2 linked regions of the Arabidopsis thaliana genome follow. The protein of the gene in region 1 interacts with the protein of each later gene in a biochemical or structural test. Each region holds a gene or a part of one and is shown in the gene's direction. Other genes may lie near its edges.

Evidence for each region.
Region 2: the proteins of HSP18.2 (region 1) and AKR2 form a complex in vitro, tested with the Arabidopsis thaliana proteins (one study listed by BioGRID).

What each region holds. Positions count from the first base shown.
Region 1 is NC_003076.8:24,060,628-24,063,827, forward strand, and holds HSP18.2 (heat shock protein 18.2), read left to right. Parts: upstream 1-1,695; 5' UTR 1,696-2,004; coding exon 2,005-2,490; 3' UTR 2,491-2,673; downstream 2,674-3,200. Other genes in the region: VIP2 (VIRE2 interacting protein 2), read left to right, coding at 41-451, 540-592, 690-731, 821-959, 1,050-1,109.
Region 2 is NC_003075.7:16,837,561-16,841,315, forward strand, and holds the start of AKR2 (ankyrin repeat-containing protein 2), read left to right. Parts: upstream 1-1,971; 5' UTR 1,972-2,186; exon of another isoform or gene 2,187-2,284; 5' UTR 2,285-2,301; coding exon 2,302-2,338; intron 2,339-2,367; exon of another isoform or gene 2,368-2,434; coding exon 2,435-2,568; intron 2,569-2,649; coding exon 2,650-2,862; intron 2,863-2,956; coding exon 2,957-3,105; intron 3,106-3,171; coding exon 3,172-3,358; intron 3,359-3,487; coding exon 3,488-3,580; intron 3,581-3,755. Other genes in the region: CLC-E (chloride channel E), read right to left, coding at 1-86, 256-719, 801-1,004, 1,098-1,785. UniProt on the Arabidopsis thaliana protein: Exhibits chaperone activity toward chloroplast outer envelope membrane, mitochondrion outer membrane, endoplasmic reticulum membrane and peroxisomal proteins, by recruiting specific proteins containing a single transmembrane associated with an AKR2A-binding sequence (ABS) and subsequently binding glycolipids (e.g. monogalactosyldiacylglycerol (MGDG) and phosphatidylglycerol (PG)) present in the membrane of the target organelle.

The sequences.
Region 1 (3,200 bases):
AACTACCGTATCTTATCATTTAATTCTTATTTAATACCAGACTGGTGGGCTACAGGGTCTTGGCCTTAGACCTCTAAGCTCGCCTAATGCAGTTTCCAGTATTGGTTATGATCAGCTTATTCAGCAGTATCAGCAACATCAAAATCAATCCCAGTTCCCTGTGCAACAGATGTCATCAATCAACCAATTTAGAGATTCTGAGATGAAATCGACACAGTCAGAGGCAGATCCTTTTTGCTTGCTTGGCTTGTTAGACGTACTAAACAGGAGCAACCCTGAATTGACCTCACTTGCTCTTGGCATCGACTTGACGACGCTAGGATTGGATTTGAATTCAACTGGAAATCTCTACAAGACATTTGCGTCTCCTTGGACAAATGAACCGGCAAAGAGCGAGGTCGAGTTCACAGTACCAAATTGTTACTACGCCACAGAACCTCCGCCTCTAACTGTAAGTTCCCTCTGTTGTTGCGAGTAGTACCAACAAAGTATTTTCTCGATTTTGTTAACAAATGTGTCATTATTTCCGTTTGTTGCAGCGAGCTAGTTTCAAAAGGTTCTCCTACGAGTTATTGTTCTACACATTTTACAGGTCTGTTATTAGATCAGCATTCAGCGTCACATTTGCCCAACTCCTAAATTAACCTTGGGCTTTTAAACTTATTACTTTGCTCTAATTATTGTTCCAGTATGCCAAAAGATGAAGCACAGCTGTACGCAGCAGATGAACTGTATGTTTTTTCTCTACTGTAATCTTTGATCTATTCGTTTACTCCGCTCTCTTTGGCTGAGACTTTTGAGTTCGATTGACATGTTGCAGTTACGAAAGAGGTTGGTTTTACCACAAGGAACTCAGAGTATGGTTCTTCAGAGTCGGGGAACCTTTAGTCAGGGCAGCTACATATGAAAGAGGAACATACGAATACCTTGATCCAAATTCGTTCAAAACAGTGAGAAAGGTAAGCCGACGATTATTGCAGGAATATCTATTTCCTTGTTCTCGAATTTGCAGTGTTATGAGTGAATTTTGCTGGTGATGGTTATCGCAGGAACATTTTGTTATCAAGTACGAGCTTATGGAAAAGAGACCAAGCTTGCTGCAGCTTTGACGACAAGTAGGTTTGTTCAATTAGTAGCATCTTTACAATGTAAAGCTTTTCTCTTCATTTCTCTTTCTTTCTTTCTTTCATGCAAGTTCTATTGATTAGAAACCAAAACCATGACATATCACATTTTCAATTTTTAACCCCAAGTTTCCCAAAAAGGTAATCACAATTACTTTCCATGGTCATTTCTTCTGGTTCAAGCATGACATGAACAGGCAATAAATAAGTTGAGATTTTGATCACAGTAACTGATACTTGAATCGAATCATTTAGATTTTTTTTTTTTTTAGTTTACTTGTTTAGTAAATATGTTGTCTATGTTTGTCACAAAAACGTGGCTCAGTTCTTGTATATATGGAGACAAAAAAATCCATTAAAAGATTGTTGACATTCTCGGAAATTTAGTGCCAACTGTTATTGCGAGAACTTACTATAGTTTTCCTTTGGCGAAAAGCTAATAATCTTAAATCTTGATTTTGTCCTCTTTTCTCTGAGTTAGATTTTCTTAAATTCCACTTCCGACCTATTAAGAAATGGGCTTTTGCAAAGAAGATCCGCTTCACTGAGCCCGTATCTCGAAGAGGATAATACAACAACAAAGCAAAACGGCACGTAGTTTTAATTGTAACCAAGGATTGCATTTCGGTCTTGTTTCAACAAACGAAACTTCCTGAAATGCCAAGAAAAATCTGGTCATTTCACCACAGTGATCATTGTGTATGTGTTCTAAAGACTCCAAGCGAAGGTTTTAGAAAAAGGAGCATTTTCTATTCTATTCAAGAAACTCGAAGAACATTCTCTCTTCATCCTCTAACTTCCCTATAAATATGTCCTTTGCTAATCAGATCAAATCAGCAGGAAAATCAAGAACCAAAAGTCTCCCGAAAAGCAACGAACAATGTCTCTCATTCCAAGCATTTTTGGAGGACGCAGATCAAACGTCTTTGATCCGTTCTCGCAAGACTTATGGGATCCATTCGAAGGATTCTTCACGCCATCTTCTGCGTTGGCAAACGCTTCAACCGCTCGTGATGTGGCAGCGTTTACAAACGCAAGAGTGGATTGGAAGGAAACGCCGGAGGCACATGTGTTCAAAGCGGACTTGCCAGGCCTGAAGAAGGAAGAAGTCAAGGTTGAGGTTGAAGACAAGAACGTTCTGCAGATTAGCGGAGAGAGGAGCAAGGAGAACGAAGAGAAGAACGATAAGTGGCACCGTGTGGAGAGAGCTAGTGGGAAGTTTATGAGAAGGTTTAGGTTACCGGAGAATGCAAAGATGGAAGAAGTGAAGGCAACAATGGAGAATGGTGTGCTTACGGTTGTGGTTCCGAAAGCGCCTGAGAAGAAGCCTCAAGTCAAGTCCATCGATATCTCCGGGGCTAATTGAATATGAAGATGAAGATGAAATATTTGGTGTGTCAAATAAAAAGCTTGTGTGCTTAAGTTTGTGTTTTTTTCTTGGCTTGTTGTGTTATGAATTTGTGGCTTTTTCTAATATTAAATGAATGTAAGATCTCATTATAATGAATAAACAAATGTTTCTATAATCCATTGTGAATGTTTTGTTGGATCTCTTCTGCAGCATATAACTACTGTATGTGCTATGGTATGGACTATGGAATATGATTAAAGATAAGATGGGCTCATAGAGTAAAACGAGGCGAGGGACCTATAAACCTCCCTTCATCATGCTATTTCATGATCTATTTTATAAAATAAAGATGTAGAAAAAAGTAAGCGTAATAACCGCAAAACAAATGATTTAAAACATGGCACATAATGAGGAGATTAAGTTCGGTTTACGTTTATTTTAGTACTAATTGTAACGTGAGACTACGTATCGGGAATCGCCTAATTAAAGCATTAATGCGAACCTGATTAGATTCACCGACCCTCCTATCGTGTCGACCTTTCTGTTTCTTAGAATTTTTTGGTAGTCTATGTACTAATAATGTCAGCTTCGTATTTATTTCATAAGCAATTTGCATTTGCAATTTGTTTTTTACTTTTATTTTTATTGTATTGTGGAATGTGGACTCGTACCAACATGAAGTTATATACCACCAAAAAAATTACAGTTAGTCAAAAGATTCACGA
Region 2 (3,755 bases), on another chromosome or scaffold:
CGATAATCCTGTGTAAGTTCAAATAGCAGTAGTACTGCTGTAAGAGGAACTTGACAAACCCCCGCAAGTGTAGCAGCCATTCCAACCTGTTAAACAATGAGACAAACAGGATCATTGGCAATGAAGCTACAAAAAAACTAGCATCCATTCTCAGTTAACCCGAAAAAATATTCTGTTCAAAGTATTGATAGGTAACCAATCAAGAAAGTCTGAAATTAAGACAATTTTGAAACATTGACCACATAAGAACAGTACCAGACCATAAGCTTGTGGAGATGCCACTTCCAAGATAGAGAGATTGAAATCAGGGTTCTGAGCCAAAGCAAGTCCAATAAACTTTCCATAGGCCATTCCTGCTGCCCCGCCAATAAAGAGAGAAGGAGCATAGTATCCACCGACAAGTCCAGAAGCCCGACACCATGCGGTTGCAGCTATCTTGACCGCTACCAGCTGAAGCAAAAGATCAGCTGAAAGACCCTTCACAAATGGACGTTTCTCCAACAAAATATCCACATTCTGAAAACCCCAGTATAATACTTCAGGGTATACCAAAGCTATGATACCAACACTTAATCCACCCATTACAGGAAATACAGCCTTTGGTATCCCAGCATCCTTGTTAAGACTGTCAACAGCAGATGTCATGGATGATGTACATCGAGATAATGCCAACGAGACCAAGCCACACAGAGCGCCCAATAAAAGATAGAGTGGAAGTTCTGAAAATCAGTGACCAGCTCTCATAAGTTTGGTTTCTGGTTCCCTTGCGTAAAAAGCATAAGAATGGCAATGCATATTACCTCCAGGAGAGCGGAAGTCATAGTCAGGAACCTTAAACGCAGGTTCAGAGCCGAGACCGATTTCGGAAACCACAGAAGCAGTAACAGCACTAAGAATAACCATAGAAGTTGTGTTTGGAAGTGAAGTTGATGAATCAGTTGATGAAGAAGGCCACAAAACGGATTCAACTGCAAAGAAGCATCCAGCCACAGCTGCATTGAACCCTGTAACAACATATAACAAAGTCCTCTTAACGAATCAATCAAGAGTTCCATACGCAAGAGAGAACAACATTAGCAAATATCAGATGAACAAACCAGAGGAAATGCCAGCAGCTGAGCCAGCGGCAAGAAGTGAGAAGCCAGTCTGAGGACTTTTATTGAACAGAGAATTCACACCTTTAGCGATTGACGCTCCAATTTCAACACTTGGACCTTCCGGCCCCAGCGAATTTCCAGTCCCAAGCGTCACACATGCGGCAACAGTCTTAAGGAAAGGACGCAACACTGCCTTTACGCGATCGAGACTAGAATGAGAATCTCCAGTAGATTTTCCAGCAGATTCTCGAAGCTGATTGAGGATGCTCACCACCAAACCGCCGATAGTCGGAACAAGGATAACACGCAACCAATTGGAACCGATCGGTGCCTCTCTAAGCCACGAAGCTCCACGATCAGGAATCCCATCCCAGGAAAAGTCTCGAAGCAAGTGAACACAGTTGTTGAATAGAACCACACTAACTCCAGTGAGAACACCAACCAAACAAGCCGACGCTATCGCAAGCTCCTGAGACGGCTGCTGATCAAATCCAACCTCATCCTGATCAGTCTCCTGCTTCGCCGCCGGTAAACGCGGGAAAATTCTACCGCCAATAGCGACGGAACCGAAAAACGGTGAAAGGACGACATTGAACTGAAAAGGAACGTCGGTTTTGTGAATTGGAGCGAATCTCCGGGAAGAGACGGGAGATCGGAGGGCAGCACAGAGTGGAAGCGTGGCTGCCATGAACGGCTGCTTCCGTGAAGTGACGCGTGTTTATCCATTAACGGATAATTTGATCTTAAATCACAAATCTTACGTGGCTGATCTTATTATTCAAACGCATGGGCTTGGGCCTTGAGGTAAACAGGTTTATATGGGCCAATAACAATAAATTTGATTAAAAATAAAAGGCCTCTTAGCTTTAGGTTCAAACTTCAATGGAGAAGCAGTGGCTGTTGTCCCTCGCAGTTGATCTTCTTCTCAATCCAAAATCCAGCTGATAAATAAATAATTTTTCTCTTGTCGTCATATTAAAAAAAAGAAAGATTATCTGTATTTCAAGTTTCATGAGCGTTTGCCACCACAACATTGTCTTTTCGGGTTAATTTCTTCTTCTTCTTCCTTTTCTTACTAAATTCTCTTAGGTAGTTGTCGATTCGATTTCTTTGTCTTCCTCTTCGCTTATTTTCGTTGAATCTCTTGTTTACACCTTTTCCTGAAAACAAAATTGTGTTTTTTGTAGGGTTTTAGTCATACTTAATGGCTTCCAATTCGGAGAAAAATCCTCTTCTTTCAGGTGATTATTTTCTTCTCAGTATACAATCTGATCTGCGATAATGAATCGTTTCTAGTCAGATTTGGTTATTGGTTCATTGTAATTTGTTTACTGTAGATGAGAAACCCAAATCGACGGAGGAGAATAAGAGTTCTAAGCCGGAATCAGCTTCTGGGAGTTCAACTTCATCAGCTATGCCTGGCTTGAATTTCAATGCTTTTGATTTCTCTAATATGGCTAGTATTCTCAACGTAAGTTACCTTTGCTGTTAGCACAATTGAAAAGTTATCTTCTTTGAGTTTTTTTTTAATTGATAATGGTTTTTTTTGTAGGATCCTAGCATCAGAGAAATGGCTGAGCAAATAGCTAAAGATCCTGCGTTTAACCAATTGGCTGAGCAGCTTCAGAGATCTATTCCTAACGCTGGCCAGGAAGGTGGTTTCCCTAACTTTGATCCTCAACAGTATGTCAATACAATGCAACAGGTTATGCATAACCCTGAGTTTAAGACAATGGCCGAGAAACTTGGTACCGCCTTAGTTCAGGTTAGGAATTGATGACTTTTTCCATCTAATCGAGGTGTGGCTTTGAATGAAGCTCTGTGTCTTATCTGATTTTATTTATTTTTTTTGCCTACAGGATCCACAAATGTCTCCTTTTTTGGATGCTTTCTCGAATCCTGAAACAGCAGAACACTTTACTGAGCGTATGGCGCGGATGAAAGAAGATCCAGAGTTGAAACCTATACTAGATGAGATTGATGCTGGTGGTCCTTCTGCCATGATGAAGTGAGTGATACAAACTTCTTTCAATGTTTTTTAGAGAAACTGTAGAGTTTGTTTCTGTTTATGAAGGAAGAATTATTTATTCTGTTTTAGGTACTGGAATGATCCAGAAGTGCTGAAAAAGCTGGGTGAAGCAATGGGTATGCCTGTTGCTGGCTTACCAGACCAGACTGTTTCAGCTGAACCTGAGGTAGCAGAAGAAGGTGAAGAAGAAGAGTCTATTGTTCACCAAACTGCCAGTCTTGGTGATGTTGAGGTTAGACTGCTTCCTACGTTAATATGCTTGACCATGTGAGATTTATCTTGCGTGTTGCTTGAGGAATTAGATGTTCCAAGTTTTGTTTTGTTGAACTCGTTATTGGATTTTTATTCGTTGATTCATTAGGGTTTGAAAGCTGCCTTGGCATCTGGTGGTAACAAAGATGAAGAAGATTCTGAAGGAAGGACAGCATTGCATTTTGCTTGTGGATACGGCGAGGTATGCAATTCTCTTATCAATTCACGGCAATTAAATATTCGGATTTAGATGGTTCTCTTTTTTTCAGTAGCTGTGAAGTTAAGAATCTTTATAATCATTCAATTGGTAGAAAAGTAACCAGTCTACTTACGTCTACGAGTTTCATGACACAATTACTTATAGCAAGTTCAAATAT